2 linked regions of the Stegostoma tigrinum genome follow. The protein of the gene in region 1 binds, or shares a complex with, the protein of each later gene. Links are inferred from orthologs where the notes say so. Each region holds a gene or a part of one and is shown on either strand. Other genes may lie near its edges.

The links. The genes of interacting proteins can lie anywhere in the genome.
Region 2: the proteins of gins4 (region 1) and protein downstream neighbor of Son are in contact, whole or in part, in a cryo-EM structure (PDB 8Q6O), measured with the Xenopus laevis proteins. The link is inferred for Stegostoma tigrinum from reciprocal best matches to the Homo sapiens genes GINS4 and DONSON. Residues at the interface, in NP_001084702.1 of Xenopus laevis: Leu19, Thr20, Pro21, Cys51, Glu54, Gln55, His58, Asn62, Arg65, Ala66, Lys67, Lys72, His76, Asn179, Leu181, Pro184, Thr186, Asp187, Glu188, Tyr192; in XP_041437004.1 of Xenopus laevis: Tyr8, Ser9, Pro10, Ser11, Phe12, Lys13, Pro15, Ser16, Ile18, Leu19, Ser22, Thr167, Arg168, Arg245, Arg469, Val471, Glu488, Thr490, Tyr518, Thr519.

Annotation. Positions count from the first base shown.
Region 1 is NC_081393.1:15,622,764-15,633,330, forward strand, and holds the start of gins4 (DNA replication complex GINS protein SLD5), read right to left. Parts: upstream 4,874-10,567; 5' UTR 4,797-4,873; coding exon 4,701-4,796; intron 3,605-4,700; coding exon 3,518-3,604; intron 1,405-3,517; coding exon 1,291-1,404; intron 608-1,290; coding exon 510-607; intron 1-509. Other genes in the region: chmp7 (charged multivesicular body protein 7), read right to left, coding at 10,157-10,227. UniProt on the Homo sapiens protein: Required for correct functioning of the GINS complex, a complex that plays an essential role in the initiation of DNA replication, and progression of DNA replication forks.
Region 2 is NC_081365.1:23,192,162-23,203,465, reverse strand, and holds the start of protein downstream neighbor of Son, read right to left. Parts: upstream 4,646-11,304; 5' UTR 4,406-4,645; coding exon 4,085-4,405; intron 1-4,084. UniProt on the Homo sapiens protein: Replisome component that maintains genome stability by protecting stalled or damaged replication forks.

The DNA of each region.
Region 1 (10,567 bases):
ACTGACAGCATCAAAGCTCCCGATTTCAGCCACCTCAGGGATTCCCCAAGAGATACCATGGTAAAACAGCTGTCCTCACTCCATTCAATCAAAGCAAGCTCCCCACCAGTGGAACCTCGAAAAGGCGTCTGGATTTTCAGCGATTCAGACTGAGAACAAAGGGGGATTTTTCTGTAGACAGCAGGGAGGGATCAGCATGTTCTGCCCAGAACGAGAGTCAATTGGGATTTTCTTGTTGTGAAGCAGGGAGCAGAGAGGGATCAGTACATTCCGATTGTTTAGCATCCATAGATCGGAAAAAAACAAACCCGAAACCTTCAGAGCTGCTGAAAGCAGGGATTGCCTGGGGTTTGAATGAGAGGAGTGAGACTGAACTCCAAGGAACAGCAGGAAGGCGGTTGATTCAAAATCCAATTCCCGACCATCGCTCCCTCACCCAATACAAACTGATCAACCTCAACATCGACAGCTCCCGGTCAAAGCCAGATTGAAATCCATAGTGCACTCACTCTTTTGCAAAAGCATATTCTTGCGGAGACAAATAGGAAGGCTCTGCCTCGAGGCGGGATTTCTCTTTCTCCAGGATATGAGGGAAGAACTTCTCAATCTAAGAATTATAGAAAAAAAAACACAGCTTATGTCCTCTGGACAACTTAAAATTAGAAGCAAACTTTCAGGCAAAAGATCCAGTTCAGAACTGAGAGGCACTGGTCCTGGCTGCGCAATCTGATTAATTGTCCAGAGGCTTACACTGAAATCTCACGCAGCACTGGGGAGTCTTAAGTTGGGAGAATTAATTTATCCAAAATCGAACGCAGGTCTTGTTGGATTATGGTAACAGCAGATTCTGTCAGGGAAAGCCATCCTTATCTGGTCTGGACTACACTCCAGACTCATTGCAATATGGTGAACTCTTCAGAGGTGCCTGAAATGGCCATGTGAGCTGCTCAGCTGTACCAAACCGCTGCACTGTGGGCTGCCCCTACACTGCGTGGACTGCAATGTCCAGTTCATCACCACCTTCTCTGGGGGCAAAGAGATATGAGCAAGAAATGTTGGCTCCACCATGCACATCCACACACACACATTTATATAAAAAACACACTAAAAACACCATTCACCCCTCCCTCAAAGTGTACAGGAGAAGCACAGTGTTCATTGGGCGCACTAACCCCATCATATCCGGTCATGTCCCCAACTCACGTCCACAAGCCAAAGCCTTAATGGATTTTGAATGGACTCACAGAGCTCTCCTCCCTCCCATTTCGTGCTTTGGGGTGGATCGTGTACCTTCTGCAAACGGGATCGCAAGTAGCTGCTGAGGACGTAGCGAATTCTCTCAGTCTCCATTCGGTGGGCGGTGACTTTCAGATCTCCCTTCCTCGCTCGCTGTAGGTTCTGTTCCTGCGAATAGGATTGAAAGGTAGGTATGGTGAACCACCAGAACCCTCGGTTTAAGGCACATAAAGCCTGTCCTTCTACTTTGGCTAAAGGCAGCCAAAACAAAGAAGATCTAAACACTTGGGTCACGGCCTCAGTTTTGCAGATCTTCATAGTTGGGATATAATTTGGACACACAGGGTTAAAAATCCCAGTCTGTCCTGTTAATCCAGGTCAAATTACAGAGACAGCCTGGGTCTGCATGTGCTCCAGCTGCTTTGCACATATTCAAATTACTGTATTCGGTCTTCATTCACAATTCAGGAAAAACAATGTCTTACCCTGCACTGCGTTTCAATCCTCTCTGAGGTTTTCACTACATCTGTCAGTTTTTACAAATGGATCGTGGTCTTGGATGGGACTTGCCTCACTGATTTTTTTAAAAAGGTGTCACAAGAGAGTTGTTACAGTCCTCTGCCATACAGCTGCTGTCACATTGAGAACACAACCAGCACCCGATTGTGTCATTCGGCCCACTGTACTGACACTGGCTCTGTCGTGAAATTCTCCAGTTTTAGACTCAGGCTATGCTCTTTCACCTCAAGCCCTGCAGATTCCTTTCTCTGTTTAAGCAGGAGTGCAGAGAGAAATCTGAGAACTACAGACCTGTGAGCCTGACTTCAGCGGTAGCTAAGCTGCTGGTGGCGATTCTGAAAGGTAGGATTTACATCCATTTGGAGATGCAAGAAATGACTGGGGATAGTCAGCATGGTTTAATGCGAGGGAAACTGTGTCTCACTAATTTAAGTTTTTTGAGGAAGTAACTAAGAAGATTGATGATGGCAGAGCAGTAGATATTGTTTACTTGGACTTTAGTAAAGCCTTTGACAAGGTTTTGCATGATCAACTAATTGGAAAAGTTATATCACATGAGATTCAGAGTGAGCTTGTCAATTGGAATCAAAATTGGCTTAATGTCAGGAGACAGAGTGGTGGTGGAGGGTTGTTTTTCAGACAGGGGGCCATGACCGGTGGTGTTCCACAGGGATCAGTACTGGGTCCACGTTTATTTGTCATTTATAGAAATGATTTTAAAGAGAATATAAAAGGCATCTTAAGTAAGTTTGTAGATGACACTAAAATTGGTGGTATAGTGAACAGTAAACAGGGTTATCCGAGATCACAAAGCAAGCTCGGTCAACTGGGCCAATGGGCTGAGGAATGGTAGATGGATTTTAACTTGGATAAATGCGAGGTATTGCACTTTTGGGCAGGACTTGTACAAATAATAGTAGGGCCTTGAGTAGTGTTGTAGGACAGAGGGATGCAGGTACATAATTTTTCAAAGCTCGCGTCACATGTACACATGATGGTTAAGGTGTTTAGCACAGCTGACTTCATTGTTTATGGTCTCCCTGTTATAGGAAGGATGTTATTGAGCTGGAGAGCGTTCAGAAGAGATTTCTCAGGATGTTGTCGGGAATGGAAGGTTTGAGTTATAAGGAGAAGCTGGATCGGCAAGGCCTTTTTTCACTGGAGCATAGGAGGTTGAGAGGTGAGCCATGACTGCAAAGTTGCGATTACCGTGAACCACTTTGCACTCAAAATGATTGGAACAAGGTCAGCCAGGTGGACCTCACAGAATATGACCTAGCTGACAGACATATACAGGAGTTTTAGGCATTCTGCTCACTCTAGGAGCTGGCTCTGAGCTAACCGGCTCAGTGTCATATACTATGCACGTGTAAATGAATGGTGACTTGGTGGTGGGATACTGGCCTTTGCGGAGTTAATTGCGTTATCCAGGACGTTGGGGAACTCTTGCTCCCCCTTGCTTTCACCATGTTGACATTGTAACCAGTCAGAATTGACATGCCAACTGATCAACTCCCTTTTCTCCCAAAAAAAGAAATCATTATGACTGTTTGAAACTCGGCATTCTGGCATACGTCCTGATGACTTGAGTAACTCAGCAAAAATCAATTTCTGCACTGCCAGGTAACTCCAGGACAGCAAATCGTTATCATCTCATTTGGCAGGGAAATCAGATTCTGGTCGTGCCCGTCAATCGCAAATTCAAAACTGCACCGAACAGGTGTCACCTCCTCTCCCCCAACGAAAAATACAAAACTGTTACCATGTGATCCAGCTGTTCCATGACACACTCCACAATTTCAGCCTTATGTTCAAGAAGGTCAGGGGAAAATTTCTCATTCAGCCACGCCTGTATAGAGATGAAAGACAGGCACGGACAGTAACTGTAAGAGGAGCAGACACAATCCCAAATTGAATATCACAGAGCGATCAAAACCTAGACTGCAGACAGATACAGTATTATTGTTTTACATATCAGGTATATTGATTCAATTTATGATTGTCACATGTATTGAGATACAGCAAAAAATACTGGTTAATGGGAGTAACCGGACACATCATAACTTCCATAAGTACATCAGGATAATCGAACATAATATAGTCCATGACCCCATTACTACCTCACTTTCTACACCCTCTGCAAAGTCTGAATGCGTGAAGATAGCACACCACCAAACACTGGAATCAATGTGAGATGTACAATTAAGTCTAGGAATTCCTGAGATAAATCTGACAGAGAAAACTCTCAGCCTCTGCTGTGCAGGGACAGGGTGGTCTCAGGAACAAACCAACAACAAGTGTCTACCAGCGAAAGGGATGCGTTGAAAACAAAATTCACAGGGTGTGGGTGTCACTGGCCGGGCCAGCATTTATTCACAGGCCTCGAGGTGGGTGTGAACCGCCTTGTTGAACCACTGGAGCCCATGGGGTGTAGGGGACGGTGCCCTCAGGGAGGGAGTTCCAGGGTTTCAGCGACACTGAAGGAACGGCCGATATGTTTCCCAAAGTCAGGGGGGAAATGAGGGGCTCAGAGGGTGAACCCGCTTGGGGGGCTGTTCCCATGTACCTGCTGCCCCTTGTCCTTCTGGATGGAAGTGGGTGGTGGGTTTGGAAGGTGCTGCCTGAGGGGCCTCGGTGAGTTGCTGAGGTCCATCTCGTAGACAGTACACACTGCTGTGACTCTGAGTGCTGGGGGTGGGGGAGTGGGATGGTTGAGGATGTGGCGCCAATCGAGTGGGGGGGGGGTTGCTCTGTCCCTGATGGTGTTGAGCTTCTCGACTGTTGTTGGAGCTGCCCCCATCCGGGGCGAGTGGGGGGTATTCCATCGCCCTCCTGACTTGTCGATGGTGGGACAGGGTCTGCGGGGAGTCAGGAGGAAAAGCCCGTGCTCAGTGTGGGATCTTACTGTGCAGCGACCAAGGCCTAACCCCACCTTCCCCCCTCACCTCCTCCAGCTTTGCAATGAGCTGCGCCGGGGTCAGGATCTCCTCCTCTTCCTCGTCGTCAAGGCCCTCTCCACCCACCATCACCTCCACGGACATGGTCACTCACGCAGACCCGAGGCTTCAACTGCAAACTCCCGCCACGGCCGCGACGTTTGGCGTCATCGCGCACGGGACCCGCCCCCATCGTTTACGTCACCGCGCAGCCCGACGCCTCGTGGACCCGCCTCCTGACTGACATCCGGACACACGTCCCGAACGCGGTAACCTCACCGCACCGCGAGGACGCCCGCTTCGCCGAACGTCTGACGTCATCGCGCAGACAAGGCCGCGTCCCCCACGCCGAACCCCTGTGACCATTGGAATCGTCGCCATCTTTCTTCCAGGCGGATGTAGCTGTCTGCAGCCTGACGAAGGGAAACTAGTCCAGCCCATCCCATTGCATTGTCCTTAAGTTTGTGTGTTGTTTTCCTTCGATTTGTTATCCCCCTGAACGTGACTGAATTGTGAATTTTTTTTAAAAAAACATAGAAAACTTAACTGTGTATCGACTTTTGTTTCTCTAAAACACTTCACGGTCATGCCGTGGGGGAGTGCAGGTTCAGATTTCTTTGGAGTGACAGGGAGACGGGGTAGTGAAGAAGGCGATGGTTCGCTTGTCTTTATCGGTCAGTGCATTGAGGAAAGGATAGACAAACAGGAGGCCAGAAGAACACAACAAGCCAGGCCCTCAGTCCTGAAGAAGGGTAATATCGGAAATGTTGACTTCTCCTTTCGTCCAGCTGCTGCCTGGCTTGCTGTGTTCTTCCAGCCTCCTGTTTGTCCACCTTGGATTCCAGATTCTAGTTTTTTTGTCTCTAACCATTGAGTATAGGACTGGGGGTGTCATGTTGCGGCTGTCCAGGACATTGGTTTGGCCACTTTTGGAACACTGCATTCAGTTCTGGTGTCTGTGCTGCAGCCAGTTGGACCGAAGGTTTTGTTTCCGTGCTGTACAGTTCTTCGGTTTTCTGATCACAACCTGATTTTCTGTAACCCTTCACCCTGAAATCTTAGGACAGGGTGACAATGAGAACCTTATTCCTCAAGTGATCTTTCAGCCAGTGGATAACTTTGCTGCTCATTAAATTAGGTCAAATTTGACATTATTCAATAATGTATATGGAGAGTGAAGAGAATTTTAGCAGAAGGAGCAGGCTGCAAATTATTATCTGGAATGTAGTGTCTCGAAGATAGAGAGAAGGTTCCTTTGATTCTTACAATGGCCATGAATGCAGGAACATATCCTCAATTGTGCCTAAGCGCAATCTCCTTCCTCAGTGTTTTAATACAGCTGTTTGCATTAAAACCTTACCCAAGTGGTTATGCATCATTCCTCACTGTGGAAAATGAATACGAGTACATTGCCCTTTGTTGCTATTGGCCACAGGCAATGACAGATTAGATTAAGAAGTAGACTGTCTCTGGCACTATGCAAACAAAAAGGATCATTTCTGTAATAGTCACATTTACAGTTCACCATTTCTCAGTGCTAACCTGTCCACTTTTCCTACAATAGTCAACATGAAACTTGGAAATAAACCACAGAAAAGTAAAATTCTGAAAATCCAGTCTTAAACCCTTTCACAAATGACCTTTTGGCATTAAAAATTAACACATTCAAATATGGAATCTTGAATTATAATTGCTGTTGGAGACTTGCCAAATGCAAAACTGAAAAAATCTCCCATTTTTAATCTATTCCTTTTGCCTATGTTCATCCATCCTTAGTTAGGCAAAAGGGAGATTCTGAATGCAAATCAATATTGTTTGGGAACCATTACAGTTAATTTTTATTTCGGTACTAGTGTATTACAAAGTGATAATTTCAGATAAAACCTTAGTATTATGGTCACGGATAAAGTGATTATAATGCTTGCTTGACCTTTAATGGCCAGCTGTCCAGTGCGTATGATCGATTTGCCAGACTCTTTTGTTAAGTACAGATTAAATGCTTATGTCTCTTTAGACACCACATCCTAGCTCACTGTCCTTAAATGCCACTCTATTTCAGCTTGGGCCTATCTTTGCAAGGTCAGAGAGGTGCTGTTCCCCCATGAAGGTCTGTCATCGAACGTCATCTTCCCTGTGCATACCTTCCTGTCTCCATCAAGAATAGGTTTTGCAAGTGGTTTCCTTGTAGAATCCTTACTGTGTGGAAGCTGGCTGTTTGGCCCATCAAGTCCGCAGGAAGAACATCCCACCCAGACCCCACCGTATCCCTGGCCTGTGCAGCCCTGGACACTACAACATGACCATTCCATATAACCTGCACATCATTGGAGTGTGTGAAGGAAGTGGCAGAAACCCCATGCAGACACAGGAAGAACATATAAACTCCACGTAAAGGGTGGATTCGAACCTGGGTCCCTGGCACTGTCAGGCAGCAATACTAACCACTGAGCCACTGTGCCGCTCCTGAGTCAGCTTCTCCGGTTCTTGAGTAGATTTGTAGCTCAGGTTGTGAATGCTGTGGTTCGTTCACTCGCTGAGCTGCTTCATTACTTAGCAGATGTTTCATTACCCTAAGCAGCAGACAGATTTAAGGTGATCGAAGATCCTGTAGCTCAAGCATTTTCAACAACTATAGGTCTCATTTTTTCCCTTAGCTCTACTTTCAAGATCCTTGCTTTCGTTTTCAATCCCTCTTGAGTCAGTAGTTGAGGAAACCCTGCTTAGTCTGGTGCATCTGCCACTAAATCCATCCCCTTCCACTTCCGAGACTTCAAGCACAGCCTGTCCAACGATCCATTTTGGAAACTAATTCTTCACCTGCTATCACTATTTTTTTTAAACAAGTAATTAGACTGGAGCTGCAGATGAACAGCTAAAAACTGTTTCGAGACAGTCAGAACTGCCGATGCTGGAGTCTGAGATAACACAATGTGGAACTGGATGAACACAGCAGGCCAGGCAGCATCGGAGGAGCAGGCAAGCTGACATTTCAGGTCAAGGTCCTTCTGCAGAAATGAAGGGCTGAAAACTGTTGATGTATCTGTTTACGGGATGTCTTCTAAATGCATAGAGAAGGGTTGAGAGTCAACTATATTGCTGCAAGTCCGGAGTCACACGTCAGCCAGACTGGGTAAGGATGGCAGTTTCCTTCCTTAAAGGACATCAGTGAACATGATGAGTTTTTGTTCATCATCAACGGACAATGGTTTGACTTGATTTATTGTTGTCACATGTACCTAAGCACAGTAAAAAGTTTTGTTTGCGAGCAGTAGGGGCAGATCGTAACATACAGACCACAGGGTGTTCAAACAAAGCATGGCATACAGGGTTACAGCTGTATAGGAGTGCACCGAAACACATTAGATTTGAAATTGGGGAGGTCCATTCAGCAGTCTAATAACAGCAGGGAAGAAGCTGTTCTAGAACCTGTTGGCATGCGTGTTTAAGCTTCTGTATCTTCTGCCTGACAGAAGAGATTGGAAGAGAGTAGAACTGGGGTTGGGATGTGGCGGGGGGCAGGGGGGTCTTCAATAACATCAGCTGCCTTTCCACAGCAATGAGAAATGTGGATGGGAGTCCATGGGTAGAAGGTTGGCTTCTGTGATGGTCTGGGCTTGCACACCACCTTCTGGTGTTTCTTATGGTCCTGGACGGAGCAGTTCCCATTACCAGGCTGTTATGCACCCGGACAGTGTGCTTTCAATGGTGCATCTGTGAATGTTGGTGAGGGTCCTCACGGACATGCTGAATTTCCTGAGCTGCCCGAGGAAGACGAGGTGCTGTTTTGCTTTCTTGACTGTCGCCTCTATGTGGGAAGTTCAGGACAAATTGTTGGTTATCAACGTTCGACATTAGATTAGATCTTCAGTCCAGCTTCTGTAACTGAACTAACATATCACTAGCTGCCATAGTCGGATTTGATCCCTTGTCCCCAGAGCATTCGTTTGGAGGGTCTGGATTGCAAAGACATTACCACTGTTCTTCTTTAAACAAATTACAGAATGCAGCCAGAATGTTTTGAACATAATTTGTCCAGATGCCCCACAGTGGTCAGATCACTACAAACACAAGCCAGTACCAAAGGAAAACAACCCCACTTTATTCGGAACGAAACTGCAATCAGCTTTAATGCTAAACATACTCTCTTTTATCCCATTTGGCCCCTTAATGTTACAACACTTTTTTGGGGATGTCTCTGTCCAGGATCACTGTTGCCTTTTACATTCGGCTCACGTCATCAGCACCAGGCTGCTGTGTTTGCCGTGTCCTCGTGATTTCAGAGTTTCACTTGGCCAATGCACTCAGCATCCATTGCTGTTTGACCAAGTTAGCAATTTATCAGCAGCCTCCTGGCCTGCTAAAAACACAATCTAATCCAAAAACAGCAGAGGGGAGAACAACCAGCCCCTTCCCTGGCACGCATCGAGACTAAGATCTTGGATCTTGACCGTCGGGGACACCAACCTCTGACCACCGACACACCTGCACACCACGTCCCCAGAGATCACAGGGGTCTCAGGCTGAAGTTCAAGCTGAGGAACAACAGCAGGTTTTATATGAAATACTAAGCAGGGAGTGCAACCACAAACCTTGTTTTAGACTGTGAAATATCAGGTGTAAGTGAAAAAGAGGCCTGATCCTTCCCAGATCATGTTATTAAAGTCATTCACCCCCTCCACATTGACCAAACCCACCCCCAAGGGCTAAATGAGGACACTTACAGGAGTAAGCACTTAACATATTTTTTTAAAAAAAGTCTTTATTTCTATTTGAAAAAGTACATGAATATTGTACAATGTCAAGTTCTTGAACAAAACACATTCAATGCAAACAGACGATCACAAGAGCACGTGTCACGATGACTTCAGACAAGCAGCAGGTTTAGAAGGATGGGGTGGAGAGGGAAGTGGGTCCTTCCTGGGATGTTCTCCGCGGGGTTCAGTGTCTACGCTACTCAAGACAAAGACAAACAACAAGCCACATAAATACCGCTCAGTGCAGTCTCGGTCCTGCCCAGATAATGCTCTCTGACGCTCAGAGCTGACAACGTTCCCCCATCTTCCGGCTCAGCACTGGCTCTTTCTGGGCCTGCCATTCACGGGGGTCACACACTCACTGAGTCTCTCCAAAGGAGCTCAGAACTGCCACCTTCTGGTTACAACTGGCTCTTTCCGATGGCAAATATCAGAGAGTCCCACCGGGACAGGGCGATTCTTCATCCTGAAGGAGCCAGGACTGAAGCTTCTTACCCACCAACTTTCTTCAAAAGTTAAAAAAAAATCACTCCGTACTGTCCTCCCAAAGTTAAAAAAACAAGATACAGAATTCTCCAAGATCACCTGTTTCCCAGATCCCAAACATATCGAGGGCGCAGTGTGTTCTTGACGGTGACCTCCCCTTGTCTTGCCCCCACAAGCTGAGGGAGAGAGATTCGATGGTGCTCACCACTCGCTCAGTGCAGGCTCTCACTGGGCAGGTTCGAGCAAGGCTGAGCCTCTCTGAGGCGGAGCAGTAGCAGCACCGCTGCCTCGCAGACCTGGATATGAGAGACACAGAGAGACACACACGGAGTTTCAAATACCTTGTACGTGGTCAGGCTCTGGGACTTAGTGCCATCAGGAGACGGGGTGGGTGGAGTTGGTGGCGATGGGTACGTGGGGGAGGGTGGTGTATGGTGGAAGGAACCTCCCAAGAGACTTCAGTGACCTCCCACCAACATCTGCTACCAGTTCCCAATCACTGAGATCTGCTGGTGCCTTGAGATCTGAGAGCATTAGCAAGGCAACAGGCGGCAGATACAGAGACAGTCACGGTGGTGGGCACAGGGTTGTACGTGTGTGTACATGTTTGTTTTTGTGTCTCCCGTGTGCACGAGA
Region 2 (11,304 bases), on another chromosome or scaffold:
CTAATTTCTGTACCGCATTGAACATGCATTATAAATTTGTCTCAAGTAGACATTTATTTGTTCTTGTGTGACACTGTGCACTTCAATCTTTATTTAGTTTCTTCTAACATATTGCTTCTAAACTTAATCTCTTTGGTGTTCACACTTAACCCAGATTTCAAATGAAAGTTTAATTGGCCTGACATCTTGGATGGCTTCTTCAGATTCCATAAGTAGTGGCATCATCAGCATATTACAAGTTATGTTCTTGACTTCATTTCTTTTTTAAACCTTAGGAGGTACATCTAACTCTGAATATTTGTTCTGTATGCAGATTGAATAGTTTTTGGCAATAGTTACACAGCCTTGTTATACACCTCTCTTTACTTAAAATACTGGATTGTCTCTTCTAGCACAGTGCTCACTGCTTGGTTTCAGTGCATATGTGGGGTGGAATTTACATAGTAAACTGAAATAATCCTCCATGGGTATTTTTCAGATGAATTAAGAGTCTGAACTTCCATTGGAATCAAAATTAGAAACGCAACTGGTAAGTTTAAAGAAAACCAAGTGGCAATGGTGTTGTAAGCTTTTAACTGCAAAACATCAAATTTCCCTCATTTTATTCAGTTGCCTTTTGATCTCCATCACAATGGCAGATTCTCTCATTGTTGTTTCGACAAATTAGTGTTCAGCAACAAGACTAATGTTACTGTGTAGGTCAATGCCGTTTTTTGATTTTAGATTAAATGTTGATTCACAGATTGGATTTCAAACATTACGTGCAATGTCACTGTGAAACCAGTGGCTTTGTGATGTGCTTGCTTACTCTGAAAGGACCTGACTTTGTTCTCCACACATGTTGGGATTCCTTGAATAGGAGGAGATTTCTCCATGTGGACATTTCATTGATTCAATCTTACCCCAGGCAGTGGGATCTAATTTAAGATTTTTTAAAAAGAAAGTCTTTAAATGAATTTGGGATGCCCTCTGGCATGTTATCAACCTCAGGAGACTGGTATACAGAAACTAACCACCCAGCTAGTGGAGCTGAGTTCTGGACATGCATGCACTTTATATAGGTATCTAGAAATATCTTGCAAACAAACTCTATTGTTTGAGATTTTATGCTGGCGCTTTATGCTGCAGATAGATTAAAGCAGCAAAAACAAAAAAGGGTGAATGTATCAAGTTGCCTCGAGGGGAGGCAAAGTTATTTCTTTCCTACTGGTGTAGAGAAAAATGATGCAAGATCCACTCATAGCTAGATACTTGCTTTGAGACAAGCTTTCTCCAAAGCCAGTAGGAAAGTTTGGCAAGGTGGCTCAGTGGTTAGCATTACAGCCTCACAGTGCCAGGGATCTGGGTTCAATTCCATCCTCGGGTAACAGTCTGTGCGGAGTTTGCACATTCTCCCCGTGTCTGCGTGGGTTCCCTCCGGGTGCTCCGGTTTCCTCCCACAGTCCAAAGAAGCGCAGGCTAGGTGGATTGGCCATGCTAAATTGCCCGTAGTGTTCAGGGGTGTGAGAGTTATAGGGGGATGGGTCTGGGTGGGATGCTCCAAGGGGTGGTGTGGACTTGTTGGGCTGAAGGGCCTGTTTCCACACTGGAGCGAATCTAATCAAACTTGCTTTTGCTAGCCAATTGTTGGTTCTATCATCCAACATTTTGGTACCAGACTATGCACTTCAAATTTAGTTCGAACTGAGTGGAGTGCAGGATCTAGCAGATCGGTAGTTTAAAAAAAAATCCTTTCCCTGAATAATTACATGGCCAACGTAAATCAAAAGTTTACTGGACACCCTCCAGAATGCATGCTCAGAACAGAGGTCAGTAAACAAAAAAAAACTTTGCTTCTTCATGCAAACCCTGAACTTTAGCTGAAAGGTATTCCTATCTGTTAAGGCTTTGACAGCATACAAAATGGGTACAGCCAAAATGCAGCATTGTCAGTGGCAACAAACACTCTAAAAAGGCAACTGACAAGAAATCATTCTGTATTATAATGGTAACCGACCATCATGAAGTGAGCAGAATACTGATCAATATTTTCAGGTCAGATATTTGTTCAACCTCTTCAACAGGGATTACTATTTAACAACTAAAAAGGAACAGTTTACATAATCAAATTGTATTTGTTGTTAGTGGTGTTTCTTGATTAGATAAGGTTCTCCAGATATGTTCTACATACCCAGATGTCACTCTTCAGTTGATCTGTCACAGACTAGAGAGCATGGCAGAGAAAAATCAAGAATTAGTGCTAACACTACAGCCTGCTTAACTCCATTAGTAACTAGAAATTGATCACAAGAGTCATCATCATCCATAGAAGAACATGCTGTTCTTCGAACTACCAAAAATTTGTAAGCAATTTCTTAAGGCAGTTGAATTTCTCCATTAGGTCCCAAAGATCTTCCTGGCTGACAACATTAGAGTTCTGGGTCAGATCAGTATATGTGCAAAAGAAGTCAATCTTCTGTTCTTGGCATTTCTTATGCAGCTGCCTGGTTTCATTGTAAACACCATGCTATGATTGCCCTAAGATTTGTGCATTTCTTTTCTCTTGTTCAGGTGAAAAAGGCATCTTTGTATGCTTGCAAGATAGTCCATTTTGTCCACATAAGTGGAATGAGTTCAGCAAACATCTTAATCAGACATTGAGTCAATAAGGATTGCATCAGCTTTGGTCTGGACAGCAGTTTGAGTGTCACTAAGTAGTTTGGGAGCATCGACACACCGATGGCTTCCAGGGAAAACCTGTTGACTGCTTCTTCATTGAATGTCAATTGGAGAATTGTTTTACATAACGCGTTCATCTCTCGGGAACATGGGCTGTTTTAGTGAGCAATGACAATCCTTCAGAACCTTGGTGAAGCATCGAGTGGACAGAATTCAGAGCTTTGTAGAATTTCTTCCAGCCTTTATCATCAGACTGAAAATCATCTGATTGCTGATTCAAAGTATCATGCAGCTTTCCAAGCCTTTTAGTAGCCCTTTTTGGATAGCGATGACTTGTCACGCAGGAGGTAACGTTGTCTTTAGTAGATTCTGGATTTGCTTATTTGTTTTTAAAAATCAAAGCGTGGCAGAAGTAGCGACAAGGACCTCTGTTGAGTCACCCACTCATCCTCAATGCAACGGAGTGCACATGTTGAGCACAAGGGCAAATGTGATTCTTCCTCGAGCGCTTGTTCCAGCTTTGAGAAATCCAAACTCTTCCGAAACTTCATGCCCTTGGTGTTTGGCTTTGAAATGTTGATAGTAGTCAGTGCAGAAATTAACAATACGTTGATTTCGATACAGGCACATCTTGATTGCCCCTCTTCCTGGTCAGAGTAGATAAAATGGCAATACGTAGAACAGGGCACGATCTAGGAAACCATTCTATCCGGGAGGTAGAAACCTGTTTGTCATTTAGGAACATGTACTCCAAACACATCATCAGCCAAGATACGACCACTGCTAACAGCGTCTTTTCCTAGACTCCTGGCCAACAACTCCTGCAGTTAAGTCGAAAACCTTATTCGACTGTAGTTGACACTCGAATAAAGAAAAAGGAAAGCTCAGTGAGTTTCCGCGTTAACTCGTTCTTCTTTCCACTAATGTTGCCAATCTTCATCCCGTTGCCTATAACAGTTGTAATGCTGATAAGGCTATTTCTTTCTCGTGTGAACATTGATAAGCGGGACCAGTTACTTTACTGAGCTACTGCCCTCCTGCGGGCTCGACACAATTTCAAACCAGCAGTTCTCCAAAACGCAAGCGGTCAAGCCCTAGTGTCGAACTTTTCAAAAAAAAGTCATTCTACAGAGTAGAAATAAATTCAAACCCCTCACAGTGAACTGGAAGTAACTTTTAAAGAAGTGGGTGCGTATGAATGGCGCAAGTGGACCATGAGGGCAGATCCTCCAGCGTCTAGGAATAACTATGTACAGCGGCGTCAACAAGTTAATTACTTTGCTTCTAAAAGGACAGCAGTACTGAGCTACTGCAGATCCGGAACATGCTAAACATTACGCTGATTATTAAAACAATAACCCTGCCTTTAATCACATTCTCTAAATCGGATGACAACATCTCAAACCTATGCATCCCGTTTACTTGCCGATTCAGTTCTGCCGTCGGAGACCGGGACTTTCCACTCCTGGGCGGAGAGTGAGCGGTGTAGCGGGTTGTCGGACTCCTCAGGCCAGCTGGTCCCGGTCCCCGGACGGGTCACGGTGTTGCCGATGTTGACGAACGGGTTCCTTGCCCTCCTCTGCCGCTTGCCGCAGGGTCTCGGTTGCTCTTTGCCGGTCGGGGTCGGAGAGTCCGAGGGAAGGCCGAGCCGCGGAGAGCTGCGAGCGCGCTTCTTCCTCAGCCTCAGCGTTTCAGACGGCTTCTTGAAACTGGGCGAATAACCGGCCAGCTGTACGGCCACCGACATTTTAAAACCCGGTCAAAAAATCAGGCGAAATCCAGGAATTAATCGATATATTGTTGGACAACCAGATGTTTCACCTTCCCCTTAAATATTTATATTCAAAAGCAATAATGAAGCATCTTTCCTTGTTTTCATCCTCCTCTTTTCAAAAATAAAAACAAAATCAGTGAAATATCACTGTCCCTGCGGCCGGAGGAAAAATATTTTTAAAATTTCGCGCGAACGAACAGTTGGAGGTTTCCCGCCGAGCGAGAGCGCATGCGTACTACTGGCCCCGCCCAAATGGGGGTGGGTGAAATTTCCGCGCAGGCGTATTGCAGCCCATGTCGGAGTGTGTTCCAGAAACGTTCAGCTGCTGCGCAGCGTTTTTGTGAGTGTTCTCGCAGTTATTTATAGTATGGAATAAAAATACCCTTTAGCTCCTGGTGTCCCACTAAAGCATCCAACCCCGATGTCTCTATCTTCATAGCTGGAGCGCTCCAGGCCCGGCAATATATTGGTAAATCTGTTCTCCGTTGTCTTCAGTGCATTCACATCCCTCCAGCAGTGGGTTGCTCGCAACTGTACACAGCGCTGTGTCCTGACTAACGTTAAAAACAGCTCCCTCAAGACCCGTGGAGCCCCCTCGTACCCTTGTCTACATTGCCTTGACTAATAAAGGCAAGGAGCCCACATTCCTTTAAGTAAAAACAAAGAACTATGAATGCTGAACATTTGAAGCAAAAAGACTGCTGGGGAAACTCAGGCCTGGTTGCACTGCACTTCTGAAGGGTTACTGGACTCTAAACATTAACTTCATTCTCTCTATAGATGCGGCCGCGCCTGTTGAGTTTCTCCAGCAATTTTGTTTACATCCTGTATTCTTTCTTTGCCACCTCACCTTGTTCTGCTGCGTTTGAGGATCTATGTACATGCACACCAAGGCTTCTGTGAACACCCTAGGGGCTCACCGTTCAACATATTTCTTTGCCATGCTTGTGCTCTTAAAAATGCATTGTCACACTTCAGACCCATTTACCATAGTTCAGCCAGACCAGGTTGGCTCTATCATTCTCTATTCAAAGGCTTTCTTCCTCACTTTTTACCACACCAGTTTGGTGTCACTGCAGACTTAGTGTTTGTACCTTGTACATTCACAGCATGTTGTGCTAGGAGAGCAATGGTTTCATCAATCTTGAGAATCAGGGCAACTGTTTTATCCTGGGATGTACTTTTAAGTTAATCTGAATAATAAAGGTGATTGGAAATATGTGAGTGATAGCTTGGAGGACTAATTGGTTCAGAAATAGAAAGTGGTTAAGTAAGAAGAGTAAAGCTGACTTGCCACTATTATCATCTCCTGCCCGCTCATTGAATGATACAGGACAAAATGGGGGCATACAGTGTTGATCAACCAAGAGCTGATATTCATATCCCATGCTACCAAATCACCAAGGTTTTTTCAAAGACTGTTCAAATTAGACATGAAATAAGAAGTGTAGGAACAGAACTAGGCTATTCAGCCCATTAAATCTCCTCTGACATTTGGTCAGGGCTGATATACATCTCAATCCCATTCTCTTGCCTTCTCCCCTTAATCCTTAATCCCCATACTAATCAAAACCCAATGACTTGGCCTCCACAGCCTTCTGAGTCAGTCAATAAGTTCCACAGAGTCACCACTCTCTGACTGAAGAAATTCCCATCTCTGTTCTAAAGGGTTCTGAAGTCTGATGCCGTGCCATGGAAGTTTCTTCTACAGGCCCACTATCCTGAAACTCTCAGAGCAGGAAGATTCCTGTCATCCTTCTAAACTCCTCTAATGCAGACCGGGACCCCTCAACTGCCTCTAATATGATGAGCTCATCATCCCAGAAATCATTCTTGTAAACATGTAAACGCCAGCACATCCTTCCTTAGATACAGGGCCCCAGGCTGCAGAGAGTGTGGTGTGATACAATTACAACATTTAAAAAACATCTGGGTGGGCTCATGAATAGGAAGGGTTTACAGGAATATGGGCCAAATGCTGGCAAATGGGACTAGGTGGGATTGGGATATCTGGTTGGTGCAGGTGAGTTGGACCGAAGGGTCTGTTTCTGTGCTGTTTGACTCTGTGGCCTCCAAGTCCATTTGTGCTTCAGATTTTCAAAGTCTTTCTCTATTTAGAAAATATACTGTGCCTGCATTCTTCGTACCAAAGTGCATGACCTCACACTTTCCCACATTGGTCAAAGGAGTGACAGATGGAATGTACCTTCTGAGCTGTTGAAGACCTTCTGCAGCCTCCCAACATTACCTATCTCACCAGTTATCTTTGTCTCATCTACAAACTTATCAACAACATCTGGAGTTCCTTTGTCCAGATTGTTAATGTATAATGTGAATATATACAGATTCCTATAGAACTCCACTTGTCACTGGCCACCATCTTGAAAGAGACCACCTTATTCTGCCTTCTGCCAGTCAGCCAATCCTCTGTCCATGCCAGTACCTCACCCCTAACTTTGTGGGCTGTTATTTAGCAGATTCCAGTGGGCATCTTGCCAAAGGCTTTCTGAAAATTCAAATAGATCCACCAGCTCTCCTTTGTCTTACTTGCTTGGTCCCTCCCCAAAGAATCCTAACAGGTTTGTCAGGCATGACACCTCCTTGAAGCCATGCTGACTCAGCCCTATTTTACTGCGAGCTTCCAAGTACTCCTCAACCTTATTCTTAATAATGCATTCTAAAATCTGACCAATAACTAAATAGCATATAGTGTCCTTTCTTCTACCTCCCTCTCTTAAACAGTGGGACTCTTCCTGTCTCCAGTGATTCCTGAAATAATACTTGCACAATGCCTCCACAATCTCCTCAGCTATCTCTTTCAGAAACCTTTGGGGTGTAATGCATATGGTTCAGGTGATTTATCCCTCTTTCGAACTTTCAGTTTCCCAAGCAATTTCTTTGTAGTGACGGCCACTATGTTCTGCCTCCAGATATATTTTTTACATTTCAAAAATATACAGTATTCATAAAAAATCTTTGTACAAATACAGTGACGACACATACAGTATTAATATTCACATATATTTGACACATTAGGAGGGTTCCATAACTGAACAGACCCCCATTTACCTTTAGCAGGAAGACTTCAAACTGGCCTTTCCCCGCTGTGCTTTGGCCTCAAGCTTTAGTGCGCCACTGAACATGTAGTCCTGGACCCCATTGAAATGTGCCAGTCTGCAACTCTTGGTTGGGGTCAACTTGTTCTGAAAGACCAACAAGGCTTGGGCAGGCTAAATAGCATCTTTCACCAAATCCTCCCGACACAACTGAAGTTTGTCTTAGTGCGCGTACCGGGGACAGATTGTAGAGCACAGAATCCCGTGTTACGGAGCTACCCGGGATGAAGATTGACAAAAACCTCCAGACTTCTTTTGTGAAGGCTCATTCCAGATGTGCAGGTTAGGTGATTGGTCATGCCAAATTGCCGATGAGCAAGCTCGGTGGATTAGCTGTAGGACGTGCAGGGTTACAGAGATGGGGTAATGTGTGGGTCTGAGTGGGATGCCCATCGGAGGGTCCGTGGGTACTCGATGGGCTAAATGGCCTGCTTCCAAACTGTAGAGATTCTGTGATTGTAGAATACAGTCACGTACTTTGGACCTCCAATACTGGCTTGTTTATGCCCCTACTATTTGGCTGACAATAATTTAATTACTTCAACAGTCCTCATTCAAACTCCATGCCCAAGATATCTCCATTATGGCTTATATATGAGCCCCAAATACTATTCAAGGTTGAGAGAAGATTTGTAGCTCAGGTTGAGGTTCTGGATGTGAGTTTGCTCGCTGAGCTGGAAGGTTAGTTTTCAGACGTTTCGTCACTTTTTTTTATTTGAAAAAATATACATTATTCGTAAGGTGTACAAAAAATAAAACATATTTACACACCTACCCAGTCATGCAAGCCGCTCCGGGTTACCCAGGGGATACATACACCAACTGAAGGAAAAAAACAAAGAAGGAAAAAAAACAAAGCAAAGAAAACACCCCGGCAGTCGTCACCCCGCACAGTTCCCGTTGCCCCCCTGACCAGTTGGGGAAAGCGCCAGCTGGGCCCAGTTACCAGATAGGGCCCTTTTTTCCATTCTGGACGAGGGATTTCATACGGTGGTCTTTCCCCACCGCGCCTTGGCGGCGGCTGCCCCAAGCTTTAGCGTGTCCCTCAGCACGTAGTCCTGGACCTTGGAGTGCGCCAGTCTGCAACACTCAGTCGGGGTCAGTTCTTTCAGCTGGCAGACCAGCAAGTTGCGGGCAGACCAAAGAGCGTCTTTCACCGCATTGATGGTCCTCCAGGTGCAATTGATGTTGGTCTCGGTGTGCGTCCCCGGAAACAGCCCATAGAGCACGGAGTCCTGCGACACGGAGCTGTTCGGGACGAACCTCGACAGATACCACTGCATCCCCCTCCAGACCTCCTGCGCATAGGCACACTCCAGAAGGAGGTGATCGACAGTCTCATCCCCCCCGCAGCCACCTCGAGGGCAGCGTGCGGTGGCGCAGAGATTCCGGGCATGCATAAAGGATCTCACTGGCAGAACCCCTCTCACCGTCAGCCAAGCAATGTCCTTGTGCTTGTTTGAAAGTTCTGGCGATGAGGTATTCCGCCAAACGACTTTGGCAGTCTGCGTGGGGAAGCACATGACGGGATCCACCCTCTCCTTTTCCCGAAGGGTCCCAAGGATACTACGTGCTGACCACTGCCTGACGGCCTTGTGGTCAAAGGTGTTTCCTTTCAAAAATTTCTCCACGAAGGACAGGTGGTATGGAACGGTCCATCTACTCGGAGCGTTCCGCGGCAACGAGGCCAGCCCATCCTTCGCAACACTGGGGACAGGTAGAACCTCAGTAAGTAGTGACACTTGGTGTTTGCGTACTGAGGATCTACGCACAGCTTGATGCAGCCGCACACAAAGGTAGCCGTCAGGGCAAGGGTGGCGTTCGGTACGCCCTTTCCCCCATTTCCCAGGTCTTTGTACATGGTGTCCCTGCGGACCCGGTCCATCCTCGACCCCCAAATGAAGTGGAAGATGGCCCGGGTGACTGCAGCAGCGCAGGTCCAGGGAATAGGCCAGCCCTGTGCCACATACAACAGTACCGAAAGCCCCTCGCACCTGACAACCAGGTTCTTACCCGCGATGGAGAGGGACTGGAGCGTCCACCTGCCCAGCTTCTGCTTCAATTTGGTGATACGCTCCTCCCAAGTCTTATTGCATGCCCCAGCTCCACCAAACAAAACACCCAGCACCTTCAGGTAGTCTGTCCTGACGGTGAAGGTGATGAAGGAGCGGTCGTCCCAGTTCCCGAAGAACATGACCTCGCTCTCACCCCTATTGACTTTGGCACCCGAGGCCAGTTCAAACTGGCCGCAGATGTCCAATAGTCTACTCACCGACCGACGATCGGTGCAGAAGACGGCCGACATCGTCCAAGTACAGGGAGGTCTTGACCTGAAGGCCTCCGCTGCCTGGGATAGTCACGCCCTTCAGGCTCACGTCCTTCCTGATGGAAGCGGCAAAGGGCTCCACACAGTACACGAACAAGGCAGGAGACAGTGGGCAGCCCTGCCTGACTCCAGATCTAACAGGAAAACTGTCCGACTCCCACCCATTGATCGAGACTGCACTAACGATGTTGGTGTAGAGCAGCCGGATTCAATTGCGGATGCCCTCCCCGAACCACAATTTGGAGAGGACGTCCCTCATGTAAGCATGAGAGACCCTGTCGAAGGCCTTGTCCTGGTCCAGGCTGACAAGGCAGGTGTCCACCCGCCTGTCCTGTACGTAGGCGATCGTATCCCTGATGAGCGCGAGGCTCTCAGCGATCTTCCTGCCCGGCACAGCACAGGTTTGGTCAGGGTGAATCGCCGGCTCCAGGACAGACCTGAGCCGGTTGTCTATGACCTTGGCCAGGATTTTGTAGTCCACGTTCAAAAGTGAAATGGGACGCCAATTCTTAATTTCTTCTCTCTCCCCCTTCCTCTTGTAAATGAGGGTGATGATGCCCTTCCTCACGGACTTGCACATTTCCCCTGCCCGAAGCGCACTATCGTACACCTCCAGCAGGTCCTGGCCGACCAGGCCCCACAGAGCGGAATACAGCTCGACCGGTAGGCCGTGGCTTCCGGGAGTCCTATTCCTCTCCAAGGACTTGAGGGCTCTGGTCAGCTCGTCCAGGGATATCGGCCGGTCCAGCCACTCCTTCGTGCCGTCGTCTAAGACCTTCGTGATAGACGACAGGAACGACTCGGAGGCCGTGCTGTCCGTGGGCTTCGTGTCGTACAGTCCGGCATAGAAGGATCTGCTGATCCTCAAAATGTCGGGCCGAGACGACGTCACTGAGCCGTCGTCCTCCTTCAGCCGGCTAAGCACAGAGCTCTCTTTGTGCACCTTCTGAAAGAAGAAACGCGAGCACGTCTCGTCCTGCTCCACGGAGCGGACCCTGGACCGGAAGTTTATTCGGGAGGCCTCCACGGCGAAGAGCGAGGCTTGCTGGCCCCTCACCTCGCGGAGGTCCTCCGTGACATCGACCCCCATCAACTGCAGAAGGAGCAGGTTCTGCACCCTTTTCTGGAGTCGCGACAGCTTTCCCCGCCTCTCTCTTGCCTTTTGAACACCCTTGAGGACAAAGAACCTCTTGATGTTCTCCTTCACTGTCTCCCACCAGTCGCCTGGAGACTCAAAGAGGGGTTTCACGGTTCTCCAACCGGCGTACTCCCTCTTAAGCTCCTTGACGTTCTCTGGGGTCAACAGAGTCGTGTTGAGCTTCCACGTCCCCTTGCCGGCCGGCTGGTCGTCCTGTAAGTGACAGTCGGCCAGCAGGAGGCAGTGGTCAGAGAAGAACACCGGCTCGACGCCGGTGGACCTGACCGAGAAC